3 linked regions of the Tribolium castaneum genome follow. The protein of the gene in region 1 purifies or fractionates together with the protein of each later gene. This does not show direct contact. Links are inferred from orthologs where the notes say so. Each region holds a gene or a part of one and is shown in the gene's direction. Other genes may lie near its edges. The genes, in order: EMC1, calnexin and CHOp24.

Region 1 (6,964 bases):
ATTTGCACAATTTTGACTTAATTCCCATCAAATTTTGGACAGAAATAGATAATTAACTAGTAAAAAGGGCATAAGTCGTCTTAGATCATTTTAATATTTTTTTATATTTTTCTCTTATTTTTGGTATATTGGAAAAATTAAAATCGACCACATTTCGTCTGATATCTCGAAAACTACGAATAAAATATCAAAAATGATTACAGATTTGGAATCGTCAGACAATTCTACGTCAGATAAGCATACATTTGAAATAAATTTTCGGTTATTGTGGCCTTGATAATTTTTTAAAGATGAGATAGAATTTTTTTTGACAAAGTTGTTTTACCTAGATAATTTGCACAATTTTGACCCGATTGCCACAGAATTTAGCACAGAAATAGACAATTAACTAGTAAAAAGGGCACAAGTCGTTTTAGATTAATTTCAATCTTTTTATATTTTTAAATTTTGGAAAATTAAAAAAATTAAAATCGGTCATATTTTGTCCAATATCTCCAAGACTACGAATCGCAGAACAAAAAGGAAGACAGATTTGGAATCCTCGGACAATTTTACGTTAGATAGATATACTTTTGAAATAAAGTTTCGGTTATTGTGACCTTGATAATTTTTTTAAAGATTGATTGGTAAGAAATTTTTTTTGACAAAGTTCTAGTTTATTTTCTTTTAAACAATTTTTTGATTAATTATGTTTGCTTTTTAAGAATTTTTTTTTTGTTTTTTTCTCAATTCTGATCCCAGTTTTGTAATAGTTTTTGTTCTTTTCTTCGCACAAAATTCCACTGTTTGTTTAGCTTCGAGTAACAAACCCATCGTAATAAATGGCTTCTTCCGATAAAAGCGCCATCTGATGCAGCTATACCTTAGCCACTTTTCTAGGGCGGCAAATTCAAATGTGTTTTTTATTTATTACTCGTTTATTATTTGTACAAGTAAGCATTGCCCATTTGTGTGTTTTCCGCCTTTTGATTTAATGCCCATGCCCATAGATGGGCGAGTTGGGTCGCAAGGGTTGGCGCGAAGTCTCTGGTAGTGGTAACGCAGGCGACTACCATTCCGGTGGTTATGGGCAAGTTGGTGGCGAAAACTACCATTCACCTGGCGAGAAATCCTCGTTGGTGAGCAGTGGCAATGGTTACGTCCGGGACGAAGACTGGAGTTGTAGCAGTCAACAGGGTTCAAAGTATTTGTGTTTTGTTTTTGGTTATTTTCTCTGATTTGGGGATTTTAAGGGCGTCTAGTCCCAAGTCGCCTGGCCAGAACTGGGACGGCAGTTGGGGTGGTTACCAGAGCGACCATCAGGGCTACCAATCCGACTCTAGGGACTTTTCCTCCCCCACGTCACCCACAGGCGCAAAATCGAGCAAAAAAGAGAAGAAAACAAAAGAGAAGAAAGCCAACTGGGACGATAAGTGGGGGGATGACGAGCTGTGGGAAAGCCTCAACAAGTAAAATTGTGACCAATTAGACCAATTAATTATTCGCATCGTGGGTGTTCATGACGTTGTTATTTCAATTTTTTAGCTCAATGTTTACGGTTTATTTACTTTATTTTTATCATTCAATGTTGTTACATTATAACTGTTGCTTATACCGGTACCAAAAGTGAGATTATTTATTTTTAACGGACTTAAACGACTTCCAGCTTGGTCACAACGCGCGAACATGCATTTATTGTCCAGTTGTTGTTACTGTAAATATTCCTTGTAGCTATAGGCTATTATTAACTGAAACATTTATGTAAAGTATGATTAATTCGAAATTTCAAGACAAATAAACATTATTTTACTCACCTACTTGGCCTTAATCAATTACAGGAACCTGTATCGTGTGAGCCGGGACTACCAACTGAAACAGCCATTTTCAACCATCCCCTAAATTTTTCTTCGATAAAGATTGTAACGAATGATGATGGTATAGCTATGTGATACAGTTTTTTCGCACACAATTGCCCAAATATTTCAAATTACTTGGTAGGGCTGTCAAGAAATTCTCGCTAAAGTGCATTCGCGTCTATTCCAGTTTTACTAGTGCTGTCCAAGAATGCGAAAAAATTGAACAAATTACGGAATCGTGATCCTAAGATCAATATTTTTGGAAATCGGCTCAATATAACTGCTATAACTCAATCCAGTAAAAATAAATGAAAGTTTGAAAATTCTCGTCAGCGACCATTCTCGCCAACGTCCTACCCAGTTTATGACTTGTCAAAACCATTGAGGTTATGTCATAGAGGTTATGTGTTCAAAATGACGAATTTGGGGCACTTTATCACACTATGCGCCACAATTCTCTCAGCCCACGCGATCTACGAAGACCAGGTGGGCAAATTCGACTGGAAACGCTCATTTATCGGCAAAGTAAAGCACGCTCAATTCGACACCAAACGCCTGATTGTGACCACACATGAGAATATCATTGCTAGTCTGAGCCCCAAAACTGGCGAAATACAATGGCGCCAATTGATGGAGGACCCCCAGGAGCACCAGCCCCAGCTCCTGCACCTGGACAAGGACGCGGTCACAGTTTCTGGGGGCAAGTCCCGGTTTTACGTGCGCGGGTGGGACGCCCCCACTGGAAGCCTCCTGTGGGAGTGGCCCCTGGTGCTGGACCGCCCCGGCGACTCGTTCTGGCTGCTCCAAGGCGACTTGTTAGTGCATGTTTTGGCAATTAAGGGCTCCCACATGGAAGTGACTCAGTTTAGTGTCAAAACGGGGGAAGTCCGGGCCAAGACGCGCAAAATCCCCGAAACGTGGGTTTCCGGTGACAAGTGCGTAACAGCCAACCCCTACTTCGTGTGTGTTTTTAACGGACAGTTGTTTTGGCTGGATGTGGTTAATGAGGGGGGCAGAGCCTCGTCCCAGCCGATTCAAGGGGGCCCTGACTGTAATCTCCTCGAGTTTGATGGCCCAAAACCCGCCGTATTACTCGTGAGACAAAATAGCGCTAAAATCGTGGAACTTGGGGGCGCAGTTTTGCCGCACGAAGTGGCCCCAAACGCTGTCTCGATCGGTAGTTCTGTTTTTCAACTTGAGGCAAATTTGGACAATTTGGATAAATTGGTTCGGGTGAAATCGTTTGATCTAGTGAGCGGGCGTGAAAGTTCGGTCGAGATCGATTATCCGTTAGGTCTCGGAGGACCATATATTGTGTCGGGGCAGTGCCGTGGCCCCGCCTGCGAGCTCCTCCTCTCCAGCACTGACCACGCCCTCACGCTAGTCCGCCTGCCCGAAGGGCGCGTCTCCTGGACGCGTGAAGAAGCCTTAAGTAACATAATCTCAGTCGAATTTTTCGAGTTACCAGTGTCCGACCTTGAGGCCAGTATCGAGACCGAATTTACCGACAACGACGTCATCACCATGTTCACGCGCCGCATTTCCACCCAAACCAAACAGCTCGTTAATCTAGTGAGCGGGCAGTTCGGCTCAACTCGGGACGACTTCGGCCTACACCGTATCATTGTCGTGGCAACGGCCGTCGGTAAACTCTTCGGGATTGACACGCTTCGCAACGGATCAATCGTGTGGACGTACCGCCTACCGAACGTCAAGCCTGTGATGCTATTGGTGCAGCGCACGGCGCGACACGCCCCCTTGCCCGCCCAGTGCGTGCTATTGGCCCAGGACGTGACGACGGGAGGCGGGGTTTTGTTCGCCTTTGATCCGATTAGCGGGGAGTCACGCGGGCTGGACCGGTTGTCCTATCGGATCAAGCAGGCGTTTGTGGCGCCCAATGAGGACGAGGAGCATCTCAAACCGGTGATTGTGATTGGTGCGGACGATTCAGTGCGGGTGTTCCCCGAAAGGGGTCCCAAAACAGTCGCTTATGTTTATACAATCGATCAAAGTCTGGTTCAAGGTTATAGACTTGAACCGGACGGGTTAAAACCGGTATGGAACCTAAACTTGGGTGTGTGTGACCTTGTGGGGGTTAGCACACGTCCGGTGACCGAGCGGGTGCATTCCCAAGGTCGGGTCTTGCACGACCGGTCGGTTCACTACAAGTATGTTAACCCCAATTTAATTGCGTTGGCAACACTGAGTGAAGACCCGGTACATAAGAGCGTTCTTAACGTGTTCCTGGTTGATGGTGTGACCGGTTTTGTTGTCTACTCGACCTCGCATAAAAAAGCCAAAGGGCCGGTACATTTAGTACATTCGGAAAACTGGCTCGTTTATACGTTTTTCAACGAACGGTTCCGAAGAACCGAAATCGTGGCAACGGAACTGTACGAAGGCTCAATCCAGAGTAACAGTACCGTATTCAGTTCCTTTGCCATAAGTCAGTTACCAGAGGTCAAAACCGAGTCATACATCCTACCAGCTAACCCCGTCTCCATGTCAGTAACTCTGACCGAACGTGGGATAACCAACAAGTTTTTGTTGGTCGGGACCAGTTCTGGCAGCGTTGTGGAAATCCCCTGGATGTTGCTCCAGCCGCGGTTTGCCGACATGCCCTGCGGTCCAGAAGAGAGCTGTTTCCCCTACATGCCAGAAATCGCCATACCGCCCGAAGCCACTATTAACTACAACCAAACTCTGGCAAGGATTCGCAAAATCGCAGTGGCCCCTGCCAAGCTGGAGAGTACAAGTCATGTGTTGGTCCACGGGTTGGACTTGTTTTATACGCGAGTGGCGCCCTCTAAGACTTTTGATTTGTTGAAGGAGGATTTTGATCATCGGTTGATTGTTTTGGTTTTGGTGGGACTGGTGGTGGCATCGTATGTTACCAAGTATCTGGCGGCCAAGAAGGCGCTAAGACAGGCTTGGAAGTAATTAGGCAATAAATTAAGGGTGGGTGTCCATGGACGGGCTTTGGATATTTTTTTATTTTTTGGGAGGATGGTTTTATACCCTATCTGGTCGTGATGGTAGTCTTGAAAGTATGGTGTTTTTGTGCTCCAGTTTAAAAGTTTGAATAAGATTTCCGAAGTATTTGAATGACCTTGAGACTTAAATAGTATATAGATCCTACACGAGAATAACAAAAATATTTTAAAATTGCAGTTGAAGGAAATGTATGATGTGCAAAAGAATGATTATTTCATACATGTTTAGTAAAACTGCTGTTTTTTTAACTTAAAGTCATTTAATTAACCAAGGAGCAATCATAACTAATGCCATTATTTTTTATGGTTTTACAGTGCCATTAATTTTGATATTTATTATGTCTCATGGTTAATTTTTATATGCATGGTCATTGAAAACACATTCAAAATTTCGATTTTCTCTACACAAATTGTAGTTTATTTATTATATTAAGTAAAGAAAAGTTGTTCATTATCTGCCTACTTTTCTTTACGTCTATGCCACTTGTTTTTCTTATAGAAAAAAACATAAAGATTTGGTAATAATTTTTTACCAGTAGAATAAAAAATAACTAAATTAAATAATCTACCATAGGTATCTGTAAAAGCAAACAATGGTTTTAGGAGGAAAAGTGCATAAGTGCAGGCTTTCACGATTACTGTCGACATTCGAGGTTTTAAAACAGATTATATGATGAAAAAATGTTAAAAATCCAAAATGCCGTTTTATGGATATTACCAATTTAAGTTTTAGTCAATGTGCACCTTTGTTGTTCTGTTTGTTGTACAATCAAGTCAGTTGTTTTGTTGTTTGATACTGTGTCTTTATACAGCATTTTGTAAGATAATTACGTTCGGTACGGACGTGGCGTAATTTGTAATTAGAGTTGTTGGGTCGTGTATAAAGTGTAAACAAAGACCAAATAAAAAGTTTAAAATGCAAAGTGTATCGATTTTTTGCCAGAGGGATATTTGCATTTGTGGGGAATATTAATGAAAATAAGTAAATAAGCTTTGCTATTACTTATGATTTTTTAAGCAATTTTTACATCATGTGTCAACGAAAATAAGGATATAACTTCGAAAACATTTTTTGATTTTTATTCAGAATAAGGTATTGCTTTCTGCATTAATAAAGATAAGGATAATCTTAGAAAAATAAGCTAAAATTATTATCTGAAGAGTAAAGAGTATGAAACTGAAATTATTTTGAGTAACACAAGTTCTAAAAACAAGCAAATGCGTGTAAGTAAAAGTAAATATTAATACAAAATAATCAGAAGACGCAGGGTTTTATTTTTAATTTTTTACCAGTAACAAATAACATTCGCATAAAAAATTTACTGTTACGTGTTGTGTGAGTGGGGCATTATCGCCTTCTAGTAGAGCAAACAACCCAAGAGGGCTCAAAACCTCTCAAAAATCATTAATTTTTTTCCACCCTAAAAGTTCCCAAAAATTGGGCACACGAAAAAATCGCTAAAATCTCCCAAAATAATGGAAAATTACCTCAAGAACGCTCTAAAAACTAACAAAATACCGTGTTTTTACACACCCCAAAATGGCTTTTTATTTCTGGACCTTGGTGCATGCAAAAAAGTAAAATTCTTGTTTTTTTACTTCATTGGGTGTTTTTGTTACGCCATAATTTGGTGCAAGTTGTACGAAACGATTGCAAAAACGTGCCAAGTTGAAGCAAAGTGCTAAAGAATTGCGTAAATTAATATTGAATTGATTAGTTTTTCCACTCGTTTTTCCAAAAACTAAAAACCAATCTATTCGTTTTTTATGTCAATAAAAAACTGGCTATAATTAGCGCCAGCAGAGGTCGCTTCACCTCGAAATGTCAGTTGCCGTCAGTTTGACGTTTGTGTTCTTTCGCTTCGGAATTTTCATAAATAAATCAACATAATGTAATAAATTGATCGAAATTATCAATTTGGAGGCGAAACTGTTGGTTTTTTGGCCTCTAGTGCGTAGTTATCTCGTTGTGCGTGACCCGAATCCGGTCGTTTTGAAGGTTAGTTTTTTGCTTTTTGTTTGTGTATAAACCGCCCTGTGCCCCATTTTTGGGGCAAATTCGCGTAAACGTCGCGCGCGAATTGTAAAGTTCACGTCGCGGGTAAATATTTTCGACGTTTCGCTGCTATTTTCAGT
Region 2 (7,184 bases), on another chromosome or scaffold:
CCTTCATCACGCTGTCTTCCCCCAGGGACACCACGTACGAATGGGGCTCCTTCCATCTCCTGTTCAAACTAACGGAAGTGAGACTGAAACATCAATTGTAGAAAAACGGCCAAGAAACGTAAAACTCAAGTACAGTTTAGAGTGAGCCGAATGAATCAATTTCACTTCGGCCGGTTCTTCGGGGCCTTTTTCCCTAACGATAACAATATCGCTTTTTGCGCCATACACCAAGGTATTGTCAGGGGCACACGCCAACACTGAACTCCTGTACCAAAGGGGCGCAGGAGGAACAGCTAACTCGTTCATCTCACCAAATTATTCAACAACTGAACAAGTAACTTTTAAAACGCATTTACACGTTATTTTCACATGTGGTTGGGCGAGTTTGTGCACTGAACAAGACGTCTGAACCGGAGAATGTTCACCCGTCCGAAATTAATTGAAGTTAGCACCATAAACATTACAGTCGACCAGACAATCCCTGCACGCATTTCCACCATTTCCCACCATTCTCGTTTTCTACAGCCAAGTTCTGTTACAAATTAAAGCTTAACTCATCCAAAAATTACCGAAAAAAGTTATTGGTCGTTACCTGATTATTTGTTACATTCTGGTAATTTTTGCGAGTCGATTTAATTTATTTAATGTTTCGCCACCCTTTTAACTTACGCTGTTGGACGTTTGACAACTGTCACGTGGCCATGCAGGAAAAATGTCAACAGTAATGTCACACGTCACTGTTCTTTTAACACAAAGTTAGATCTATTTCGCAAAAATACTTCTATAAATCTATCATTTTCTGTAATAATGGAGTTTAAAGTGTTTACTTTGAATTGCTGGTAAGCTGTCATGTGATTTATGTTACAAAATTGCACAAAATTCTTAGGGGCCTTGCGGTGGTCTCCAAGAACCGAAGACACCGAATGCAGGCAATAGCTGAGAAGTTGGCGACTAGCCAGTACGATGTAGTTTGCCTCCAAGAGATATGGCTTGACTCTGACTACCAGTTAATCAGAAACAAAGTCTCAGGGGTGTTACCATACTCTCACTATTTTTACAGGTAAATTCAAAAATTCAGTTGAAACAAGCGTAAAGGTGAGTTGTAGCGGAGTCACGGGCTCTGGCGTTTGTATTTTATCGCGACACCCGATGGAGGACGTTTTTTTCCACCAATGGCCAGTAAATGGTTACATTCATAAAATCCACCATGGTGACTGGTTTGGTGGAAAGGGCGTGGGTTTATGTAAATTAAAGGTGAACAATTACACCGTCAACGTCTACTCTGCACATGTAAGATTTATTTTGCTTGATGAACAACACAAAGAGTAATAATTTTAGTTGCACGCAGAATACGACCGAAATTGTGATGAATACCAAGCTCACAGAGTGCTCCAATCTTTCGATACCGCTCAATTTATCCAAATGACGTCTGGAGACGCCGACCTAGTAGTCCTGGCCGGGGACTTAAATACCGAACCTGGAGATTTAGCCTACAGGATAATGTTGAGTGTTCCGGGACTTGTAGATGCGTTTGGTGAAGCTGGAGAAACGGTGCAGAATTGTGTGGCGACAAATGAAAGCCTCACTAATAGTTACACACCCGTGGCCTTACTCAAGAAAAACATTCCTGGCAAAAGAATCGACTATATCATGTATCATCCAGGCTCAAGTTTACAAATCGATTTAAAAAGCTACACATTGCCGTTACCACACAAAATCCCCGGATGTGCGTACAGTTACTCGGACCATGAAGCAATCGCTGCGACTTTAATCGTCACAAAGAGCGAGATAAGGTCGCTGAAAAGCGACCAACACATGAAGAAAACTGTCCTTGAAGAGAGCATAGAAATCTGTGATGACGCACTCAGGGGCTTGAATAACCATAAATATTTGTACTGGTTTTTTACGTTCGTTTTAATCGTGTTGCTGGTTACGACACTTGCAACTGACCTACCTTTCGGCTACAATCTGAATTTTATTTACCACATTTTGAAAATTTTAATCACCCTTTTTATGTTTTACACTTTGATGATGGCAACTATCTGGAATAAAATCGAACGTCATGCTGTGATTGCGGGCAAGTTGGGAATGGAGACAGCTTTGAGGAAATTAAAAGCCAAAGATTTGTAATTATATCAGGGCCAAAACAAGCTCAGTATTTTAAATCAAAGACCAACACCTGTTGCTCATTTTTTATTTGGTTTGTACGACTGTGATCGTTTCTGTACCACTGGTGAATAAAGTTTTCATTTTTTAACTGTTTGTACTTTTTTTCCCCGCCTATTTTTGAACTGAGCGCAACTTTGCCATCTGTTTGACGCTGATTGGTCGGCGAATTTGTGTTTATTCTCTTCATAAATGCGGTGTATTACGTGGTGTTCAAGAACTACAATAAAAATAATCTGATAATAAATGAAATACAGCCTAAGTAAACACCAATTTGAGTTAAGACTGTGGTGCTGAAGCTAGTGTTGTAAGAGTGCTGTGTAAAACTACTTCCGGATTTTGAGGTTAGGTATGTCATTTTATTTTGTCGGTCTCTAGAATTTTAATTATTTCATCGTGAAGTCGGCTTTTTTGTGCATTTTGTAGTAATAGCGTGTCGATAGTTGGGTAAGAGAGTGCGTTTTTGTCGATATTTGGCGTAATTTCGTAACTAATCGATTGGGAAGTGCGTTCACTAACCTTTCAGGTTAATTTTTTAAATTGGATTAGTCCCTGACTTATATTAGTAAATACTGCTTCCGTTTCGTCATCCTGTAATCACGACACATAATTAGTGCCCGGTTTGGTTTGCAGGACAATATATGATCACAAAATGCTTAGAAGTCTCGTTCCGGCAGTAATCACGTTATTGTTGATATTTTCGGCGGTAAAATGTGACGAAGTGGACGATTCTGACGAGGCTACTGTGGAAGTAGAACCGGAAGAATCACACATTGATATCCCCTACGAAAGTCCGAGCCCCCTTGACCCGAAAAAGGTCTATTTCGCCGAGCATTTCGACGATCCAGACCAGTTTGCGAAACGTTGGATAAAATCCCAAGCGAAGAAAGAAGGGATTTCCGAAGACATCGCAAAATACGACGGTGAATGGCAACTTGAACCAACCCAAAAAGACAGTCTAGTGGGCGACAAAGGTTTAGTGCTTAAATCAAAGGCTAAACACGCTGCTATTGCCTCCTCTCTCCTAAAACCGTTTATTTTTGATACTAAACCATTAATCGTGCAATATGAAGTAATATTCCAAGACGGCCAAGAATGTGGCGGAGCCTACTTGAAGCTGCTCACCCAGGACTCCGCCAGTAAAAACTTGAACAACTTCCACGATAAAACCCCCTACTCGATCATGTTCGGCCCCGACAAGTGCGGTAACGACCACAAGCTCCACTTTATCTTCAAGCACCGCAACCCTCTCAACGGGAGCGTCGAGGAAAAGCATTGCAAAAAACCCAAAGACCGCATTGAGGAAGTCTTCTCCGACAAACTCCCCCACTTGTTCACCCTTGTCCTGCACCCTGACAACACCTTCGAGATCCTAATCGACAACAAAGTGGTCAATTCGGGAAGTTTGCTTGAGGATTTCACCCCGGCAGTGAATCCTCCGAAAGAAATTGACGATCCTAATGACAAGAAACCTGAGGATTGGGATGAAAGGGAGAAAATCCCTGACCCAGATGCCGTGAAACCTGACGATTGGGATGAGGATGCGCCGGCTCAGATTGTTGATGAATCAGCGGTGAAACCGGAAGGTTGGCTGGATAATGAACCGTCGCATGTTTTCGATCCTGATGCAAAGAAACCAGAAGATTGGGATTCGGAAATGGACGGGGAGTGGGAACCACCGCTTATTGATAATCCCGCTTGTAAGGATGCTGTCGGGTGTGGGCCTTGGGAGCCCCCACTTATCAATAATCCCGATTATAAGGGGAAGTGGAGGGCGCCGCTTATCGATAATCCTAATTATAAGGGGAAGTGGAGGCCCAGGAGGATCCCCAATCCCGAGTTCTTCGAAGATAAGCATCCCTTTAAAATGCAGACTGTTGTAAGTAAATGGTTAAAAAATTATCTTGTTTATGTAACTGTAATTATTGGTGCCGATATGTTTACATTATTTTTTCTTCTTGTTCAAATTTATCAGTTGATTTTGTACACTATTAGAACATAGTTTACAAATCTGCAGTCAAAATTTGGCTGTCAGCTCTAGTTTCCTCTCCAGTTTCCAGAATTTGTGAAAAGTATATTTCGATATGCTTTGTACAAAAATAACAAATTCTGAGCTTCTAATTTTGTTAGCAATTTTTTTAGAGTGCCTAGGACAGTGAGAAAATGGTAAAAGAATTGCCTCTTGATAAAATTGAGCCAACTTGAAATTGACACATTTATTTTTGCGATTTTTTTTTATTATCTTTGGTTTTTGGCAGAATTGTAGTTGTTTAATTTCCATATTTTTACCGAAACTGCGTATTTGATTATTGCATTGTTGCCTTCAACAAAACATGTTGCAAAAAAGAATTGTTTGTGTCACTACAAAAGGATTTAGTTGCTATGTGAGATATGCTAACTAAGGAAGTAATATATACTTAGCCACACCCAATCGTTTTTATGCTTATTTTGGCGAATTTGCGTTCGTATTGTGATAAAAATGTTTTGTAAACCTAAATAAAGAATTGTATTTTTGCAATTCATTCAAGATTAATTTATCTTTGGACAAATAACTTTTTTCAGACCGCTGTTGGATTTGAGTTATGGTCAATGTCAAAGGACATTTTCTTCGACAATATTATTATTACCGACGATATTACCGTTGCGAACCATTGGGCAGACGCCACTTTTGAAAAAAAGAAGCAAAAGATCGCCAAGGATTCGGTTAGTATCTGTTTAATTTAAATGAATTTTATTATATTTGTGATTTTTTACTAAATAAGAGGACACTGTGGGGTCGTCTTATGAAAAAGTTAAACTATAAACCTGTACCGTGGTTCTTATATTTCGTTTATTGCGCCATACCGGTTTGTTGTTACATATGGTACCTCTACTTCTGCATTCAAGAGGTATTTTCGTACTGCTAGTTATAGTTTTCTTTGTTTTGACATAGGAAAGCGTAATTCAAAAATTAGCTACCTTGACCAATGATTACCCTTGGCTTTGGGGAGTATACATTATCGTACTAGGCATCCCTGTTGTTTTTGTATTATACCTTTGCTGCAAGCCTGGATCCTCTGCTAGTCAAATTCAGGTATTTTGGCTATTGCATTAAATTTTGCGGTGTTAATAAGTGACAATGACAGGAGAAAGAGGAGCTTCGACAAGCAGCGCAACATAAAAAGACTGACGAAACGACTGAAGATGTTGTAGAAGAAGAAGGTAAAGAAGAAGAAGAAGATGAAGTAGAAGCTGAAAATGCAGAAGACGACGATAGAGAAAAGAATTCAGGGCCTGATTCCGACGAAGAAGAGGAATCAGAGGAAAAAACAGAGGTGAGATTCAGTCGTTAAAATTAAAATTGGGTTTATCATGTTCTCGCAGGAACAGTCATCCAAAGGTGCAGGTGACGGCGCGAGGAAACGAAAAGTTCGTAAGGAGTGATAGTAATTTTTGTATAACTTGCACCAGCACTGTTTTCATCATGCAATCCTGCAGTTGTATTTATTTACGATTGTTTGTTTTTTTGCTGTACATTATTCGTTCCATTTTTCCTTAGGAAATTTGTTCTTTTTGAAAGAATAGTATAATTGTAGTTGTTACGTTTTCGAATAAAGTATTTGACAGCGGTTCATTTTACTGTATTTGTAAATAATCAAACGGAGGGCTTAAGGGAAAGGTATTAAGCCGTTTGTATATTTGAGGATTATTTATTACAGAAAATAAAAAACATGGAACTATTTTTTGGTAATTTGTACCATTTCACCGGCAGCTCTTCAGTTTCCCAGACCAAATTCGCCCGTACTAGTATTATGTCATTGCATGATTTGCATCAGCGATTTTTCTATATTATATTTATAATGTCCTGTGATTATGTAATAGTTCAGAGGAAAATAAATTACTTAAGTTTATTGTGTGTGGAACTAAAGCTACAATAAATAAACTTAAAAATAATCACTTGTTTTGTTAATGCACAGCTGATCTTTAATCCCCGCGTTGTGCGGCATTTCTTGCAACTCTTCAGTCAGCGGAATCTGTTGCGTGTGCGAGATCGTGCGACTTCGCCTCTTAAACTCCCGATTGCGGTCCTTGAAAGAGTTATATTTTCGCATTATCTCCATCTGAACCTCGCTGTTCAAGAGGCAATAAACCAAACTGGCAAAAAGTCCTTGAAACGCTGTAAAAGTCTGGTCAAAAAATAACCACATTATTTCAAACGTCTGGTCCTCCAGCGCATAGAACGATAACACGAACGAAATCGTGTAAGGGATCCCGAACAGAGGCACCAAAATTAAAATAGCACGGATGAGCTTTTGGTACTTGGTCCAGCGCTGCTGAATGTACATCGAAGTCAGTTTCACGAAAAGTATTCGGACGATTATTGTAAATAAAATGAAATTGATCTAAAATTTGGTGCTTCAAACATTTTTTTTTAATTAAATTGGAAACTCACAACCACCGTAAGTCCGATCGGGACATCAATCAACATTGCAATAAATTTACTGGATTTTGTTGTCCAACAGTAAATATTTTCATTCCCGGCCTTTAGAACAATCCACGGAATTATGAAAAGCAGGGGGATCCCCCACCCCAAACTGTAATAAATTACAACCCCGTTTTCCGAAAGCAATTTCAAAAAGAGCAAGTTGTGTAAATAGGCGCCCTCCATCAGAAGAAACATGTAATTTGATATTATGAAATAATTCCAGAGACTTATTATAGCTTTACAAACCCAGGACTAAACAAAACCGTTAGTTTTTTTCTATGTGATTGAAAAAGCTACTCACGAAATTAGTTTTGTTGTAAACTAGCTTTCCATTTATTTGAATAATTTCATGCGGTAAGGCCGTCCCCTCGATGAACAATCCGTCTTTTATCAGAGACATGAGGGCCCTCATTACAAACGAGGCAAATAAGTGAATGTGAAGCTTATTTCGAGCGCAGTGTAATCGCCTAAAAAAATTTCTCACTTTTATTTTTTCCTATGGTGGCACTTACTTGATACGTATGAAGACAAACAAAGATATAATTAGTGAGAC
Region 3 (5,876 bases), on another chromosome or scaffold:
TAATGAAGGACGCTATAATTGGTTGCAGTTTTTATGCAAGTACGTAGTATTGTGTTTATTTAGATATTTATTACTGTATAGTAAGTTTTTTTTGTAAATATGATGCGTTTGAGTTTAATAAACTAGTCTGAAAATAATTGAGTTTTATTTTTTCCCATTTTTTGTTTTGGACGGTGGGGTCCTGGGTTCGAACCCGGTCGCATCCGTTTTTTTTTTTTTAAGGGAAAATATGAATTATTGGGGAGTTTTATTGGTTAAAAACAAAATTGAATGGTATTTATTATTGATTTATTAATACTAGGAATATTATTTAATTAATAAAGGACGGTATAATTGGTTGCTTGACTAAATTAATTTTATGCAAGTTCTGTTTGATCAAAACGTAGTATTGTGTTTATTTAAGTATTTATTACTATATACGAAGGTTTTTTTTGTAAATATGATATATTTGAATTTAATAAATTAGACTGAAAATGATTGAGTTTTATTTTTCCCATTTTTTGTTTCGGAAGGTGGGGTCCGGGGTTCGAACCCGGTCACATCCGTTTTTTTTTTAAGAGATAATATGAATTATTGGGGAGTTTTGTTGCCTAAAAAGAGAATTGAATGGTATTTATTATTAATTTATTAATACTAGGAATATTATTTAATTAAAAAAGAACAGTATAATTGATTGCTTGACTCTTGACTAAGTTACTTTTATGCAAGTTCTATTTGAAACAAAACTTAGTATTGTGTTTATTTCGGTATTTATTACTACATAGGAAGGTTTTTCTTGTAAATATGATGTGTTTGAGTTTAATAAACTAGATTGAAAATAACTTTTTATTTTTTCCATTTTTTGTTTTGGAAGTTGGGGTCCGGGGTTCGAACCCGGTCGGCATCCGTTTTTTTTTAAAGTAAAATATGAGTTATTGGGGAATTTTATTGGCTAAAAAGAGAATCGAATAATTTTTATTATTAATTTATCGATACAAAGAATATTATTTAATTAATAAAGGACGGTATAATTAGTTGCTTGACTAAGTTACTTTTATGCAAGTTCTGTTTGAAACGAAACGTAGTATTGTGTTTATTTAGAAATTTATTACCCTATAGTAAGTATTTTTTTTGTAAATATAATGTGTTTGAGTTTAATAAACTAGACTGAAAATGACTGAGTTTAATTTTTTCCCGTTTTTTGTTTTGGAACTTGGAGTCCGGGGTTCGCACCCGGTCGGCATCCGTTTTTTTTTAAGGAAAATATAAATTGTTGGGGAGTTTTATTGGTAAAAAAAATGAATGGTATTTATTATTAATACTCGGAATATTATTTAATTAATAATGGATGGTATAATTAGTTGCTTGACTAAGTCACTTTTATGCAAGTTCTGTTTGAAACGAAACGTAGTATTGTCTTTATTTAGGTATTTATTACAATATAGGAAGTTTTTTTTGTAATCAATTGCCAACTTTACAGTTTACAATTTTCATTTTTTCATTAAACTTTCTACTAAAAAAATTTGGTTGCGACCTGACAGCGTGTACAACCGACTAAACTCATTTTGTGCCACAATTAATTAATAATTCTCCCTGATTTTGGAAAAAAATGGAAAAATCTTGTGAAATCGCCATGTTGGCAGCGTCTCCTTTTGACAGGAGAGGTTAGATACGTGGCCGATGAATTTAACTTAAATCTCAGAAATGTGTTCAAAAGTGATAATCTCCCTTCTGCTCCTGTACACATCCTCAACATCTGCCTATTTCATAACCGTGGACGCGCACGCCGAGGAATGTTTCTTCGACAAGGTGGAAGCTGGCACAAAAATGGGTACGTTGTAGTGCGGGGCCCTTGCCCAGCTAACCCCCTTTTGCAGGCTTGACTTTCGAGATAGCCGAAGGGGGCTTCCTGGACATTGATGTCCGGATCGTGGGCCCCGACGATAAGGTTATCTACCAGGGCGAAAGGGAGACTTCGGGGAAGTACACTTTTTCGGCGCACACTGCCGGCACTTACACGTACTGTTTTTCGAATAAGATGTCGACAATGACGCCCAAAGTGGTCATGTTTAATATGGCCATTGGTGAGGGCCCCAAGGCCGAGCACCAGGAGGGCGATTCCACGAATAAGTTGGAGGATATGATCCGGGAACTGAGCGGTGAGTGGGGGCCCAAGTAGGCCAGGAAAATAAGTATTCAAATATACATAAAATATATATTTTATCGTCTTGTATAGTACATAATTATTAATTCAACGTTTTTAAATAAATAAAATTCAAGTATATCCTTAAAATATATATTTTTAAGGCTTATTTAAATGTTCACAAATAATTTGCTGTTGTAGCATCGTTGACTGGGGTTAAGCAAGAACAGGAGTATATGCAAGTCAGGGACCGCATTCACAGGAGTATTAATGAAAACACAAATTCAAGAGTTGTGATGTGGTCATTTTTTGAGGCCCTAATTTTGGTCGCGATGACTCTTGGACAGGTTTATTATTTGAAGCGATTCTTCGAGGTACGGAGAGTCGTTTAAGTCACTTTTTGTTGTGAAATTTTGTAAATTAATATTTAATAAGAATTTTTAATAAAAAATGTCACAGAACACTTGGTTTTATTACACCCGACACACATTCCATTCCCAATCAGAGCGGGCTATGACTTCGAAATCAAGTTGGCAATGTCATAATTTCATAACCAATAATTGACTATGCCAACTTGATCTCAAAAAAGAGATTATACGTTGACAAGAAAAACGGAATAATTACAAAAAAGCGTAATTTCATAACATAGTAGGTGTAAAATGTTACTGAAACTTTGAATACACCTCTTATTGTAACAAAAAACAGCGAAATAGAAACATAATTTTATTAAAATTCATAAAAACTTACAAAGAAGCATAGACTTTGGCACAAAAACAACAAAAATCAAGAGGTAGGTTTGTATTTACAAGTTGATATATAAAAGTTGAAACTTTGTTTCGTCTAGAGTGATATAAATTTAGTCGTCTATTTCTAAATCTAATTCTATATCCGACAATTCCATTAACTGTAGCGAATTAATTAACATATACCTTGAGAAAAGCATATAGAGACGTCGAAACCAAACTAATTGGGACTGATGCTGTTTCATGGCCTTGTGGATTATAGCGCGGTCTGCAGAAGTCACTAAATACCTAAAACAATTGACAGTTGTGCTACAAGTTGCCCATGAATTATACTATTGGCAACACTCGGTTATTGTCTTTATGCAACGAGCGTAAGCGAGAAGCGTTTTCTTATTTTTTTGTTGGAACATTTTTATTTAAAACACGTTGCTATGGGAAGCGTGTAAAATATTATTAAAAGGAAGACTCAACAAAAAATTATTTTTAATTTGATACTTAATACTTAATAATTAAGTTATTAGGAATTGTAGAATAGTTCTGAAAAATTCACACGCATGCATATTTTTTTTACATTTAAGTTGGATAATCAGGGTTGCCAAATTAATTTAGTAGTCACCCGGTGCATGCCAACTTGATGCATCATTAAAAACGCCCTCACCTTATCCTGGACAAAAGAAACGAGACGGGAATATCCAACAGGAGCCAATACTTCCTCAACAAATTAACAGTCTCTAGAACATAAACAGAACATTCCTTGGGCAATTTTTTCTCAATGCTGAGATGAGCGATCGCGTAGTAAATACTGCAGTGATTGAGATGATAGCTAACTCCGTGTTTATCAAAGGTGACAAGCGTGTCAATGCTGTAGGTCTCCACGTGGTTTAAAATCAATTTAGCGACCAATTCAATCGGCCATTTGGCCCCCATTTGATCGGGCAAGTTCGTGTGGTTGCACACCGTGATACAGCTATCGTCAATGCCCAGCATGCGACACGATTTGTACAATTCCTGTTTGCGGGTTTTCCCCAGTCCGTAATTTTGCCCTGAAACGAGTGATTACGCCCGAAAAATGAGCGGGTCTCAAACCTGTCGAAAGACACATCAGGAACACTTTACATTGGTTCTGTTTGGTGAAGTTCAAAACAGTGGGGCCAAAAAACATGCATTCGTCGTCAGGATGTGCGATTACTAGTAAAACACGATGGGGGTTTTTTACGTCTTTTTTGAAGTGGATTATCTTCCAGCGAGAGATGGAAAGGTACAAAAACACGCATACTATGATGTACACGGACACGGCTACGATTAAATGCTCCACGGTTTCTTTCGTGTATTCCTGGACTCGAACGGTTAGATTCTTCCAAGAGGCTGAGACGAGGGACACCAACGATTCGAAACCTAGACTCATGCCAAGGCGCTGCTTGGCTCATCTCAGTCATGAAGTCACGCTCGAAATAGATTTACCGAGCATTTGCGGTATTTTTAGATTTTCTGGCGGAGAAATTGGCACAGGGCATAATTTTGAGGTTAGGTTGACGTCCCCATTTCTAGGGATTTTTATCTGTCACTAGCATTCCCAAGCGGGAATTCTGGTCACCAACAGAAAATCAACGACAGAAAAGACATTTCTAGAAACATTCACGTTTCTAGAATTTTACATTTTTAAATTAATACCACTAATAGTCTTCATAATTGTAAAACTAATGGTACTTTTCATTTTTTTATGTTCGTAAAAATAAAAAAGTTATGAGACCTCAAAGTCTCTCTAGGTGTGACGTCGGGCGGCACAATTGACTCAGCTGGTTAAAATTAACATGTTTCCAAAATTATTTCGCTGTTCCTCAATTTTTTCCATTTAGCTATTGCAGTCCTATATCTTTTATGAATGTTTAATGAACTATAACTAAATAAAATAAATAAAATTCAGAAATCTCACGTTATAAAACCGTTGGATATCAAAAAATGAGAACAAGACATCTTTAGAAAAACAAGAGAATCGTAATTTCATATCTTTGAAAACACTAGGTTTATAATTATAAACCACATCTACTTATTCATCGAACGTATCTTCAAAAGCATTAACAAATAAAGAAATTGTATTTCTGTAAATAACAAGTCGTTTGTAGAACACTTATTTTTTTACATATTTTTTTTTGTACAAAACATTCTGCAAGCATCGCTTGTTCTATAAATCATAAAAATTTCCATTAGTTAATGTTTTTAGTTTTTTTTAAATAAAATAATATTTTATTAATATAAATATTTCTCATTAATTAATATTTATTATTTATAAGAAATTGTAGAAAAAATCTGATAAAATTCGAAGGCTTACAGAAAGAAATAAAGCAAAAAAAATCACAAACGCTGATTTTTGTGTGATTATTTAAATGGATTATTATTGGTTATTAGTGATTCATTACAGTATCTCCTTAAACAAATTACTTCAATTATCACAAATAACACTTTCTTTCAATATTTATATCTTTTAAGTCAATAAAATTATCCGGAGATCTCAATACAATGCCGAAAGGAACAGTAGTGTGTAAATCGCCGTAAATGACCCAATACTTAACAGTTTTTGATTACGCAATAGATTAAATAACTCTTTGTAATCAAAAATCTTTTTCACTTTTTTATCAAAGTCCAACATAAAACACTTTATAATCACGAAAAAACGCAAAACCAAAGGCAACACTAGTATTTACCGGCATATAATTTTAAATTGACTCTCTCTAATGTAAAAAATTAACAGTACACACGCAGAATTGCTAAATAATCCATTAAATGAGCAATTACCAAAACTTGTTACTGTTTTCGGCAAGTACGACATGTCGTCACCAGAGGACGCCTAGTTAATGCATTTCTGGTGATTTCAGTTTTGTCAATTAGACTAGCCACCAAAAGTGTTTTTTTACGAATTGTTTGAATTAATTAACCCCAAGTACCATCTCGTGCAAAACCAAACGAAATAATGTGAATCGTGTCCTTGCTTTGTGTAATTTATGCCCGTATTT

Evidence for each region.
Region 2: the proteins of EMC1 (region 1) and calnexin purify together in Homo sapiens (affinity purification with mass spectrometry; 4 studies listed by BioGRID and IntAct, with this or other methods). This does not show direct contact. The link is inferred for Tribolium castaneum from reciprocal best matches to the Homo sapiens genes EMC1 and CANX.
Region 3: the proteins of EMC1 (region 1) and CHOp24 purify together in Homo sapiens (affinity purification with mass spectrometry; 3 studies listed by BioGRID and IntAct, with this or other methods). This does not show direct contact. The link is inferred for Tribolium castaneum from reciprocal best matches to the Homo sapiens genes EMC1 and TMED2.

Annotation. Positions count from the first base shown.
Region 1 is NC_087394.1:1,540,523-1,547,486, forward strand, and holds EMC1 (ER membrane protein complex subunit 1), read left to right. Parts: upstream 1-2,140; 5' UTR 2,141-2,249; coding exon 2,250-4,775; 3' UTR 4,776-5,751; downstream 5,752-6,964. Other genes in the region: ArfGAP1 (ADP-ribosylation factor GTPase-activating protein 1), read left to right, coding at 990-1,183, 1,233-1,452. UniProt on the Homo sapiens protein: Part of the endoplasmic reticulum membrane protein complex (EMC) that enables the energy-independent insertion into endoplasmic reticulum membranes of newly synthesized membrane proteins.
Region 2 is NC_087402.1:5,188,012-5,195,195, reverse strand, and holds calnexin, read left to right. Parts: upstream 1-2,314; 5' UTR 2,315-2,510; exon of another isoform or gene 2,511-2,515; intron 2,516-2,518; exon of another isoform or gene 2,519-2,613; intron 2,614-2,799; 5' UTR 2,800-2,818; coding exon 2,819-4,045; intron 4,046-4,728; coding exon 4,729-4,869; intron 4,870-5,098; coding exon 5,099-5,239; intron 5,240-5,291; coding exon 5,292-5,480; intron 5,481-5,529; coding exon 5,530-5,589; 3' UTR 5,590-6,089; downstream 6,090-7,184. Other genes in the region: gem-associated protein 5, read right to left, coding at 1-83, 134-306; nSMase (putative neutral sphingomyelinase), read left to right, coding at 808-839, 887-1,060, 1,107-1,290, 1,339-2,130; parathyroid hormone/parathyroid hormone-related peptide receptor, read right to left, coding at 6,090-6,548, 6,599-6,883, 6,933-7,098, 7,144-7,184. UniProt on the Homo sapiens protein: Calcium-binding protein that interacts with newly synthesized monoglucosylated glycoproteins in the endoplasmic reticulum. It may act in assisting protein assembly and/or in the retention within the ER of unassembled protein subunits.
Region 3 is NC_087401.1:13,708,183-13,714,058, reverse strand, and holds CHOp24 (transmembrane emp24 domain-containing protein 2), read left to right. Parts: upstream 1-1,587; 5' UTR 1,588-1,683; coding exon 1,684-1,810; intron 1,811-1,856; coding exon 1,857-2,138; intron 2,139-2,323; coding exon 2,324-2,514; 3' UTR 2,515-2,583; downstream 2,584-5,876. Other genes in the region: PIG-L (N-acetylglucosaminyl-phosphatidylinositol de-N-acetylase), read right to left, coding at 2,979-3,153, 3,524-3,908, 3,952-4,270. UniProt on the Homo sapiens protein: Involved in vesicular protein trafficking. Mainly functions in the early secretory pathway but also in post-Golgi membranes.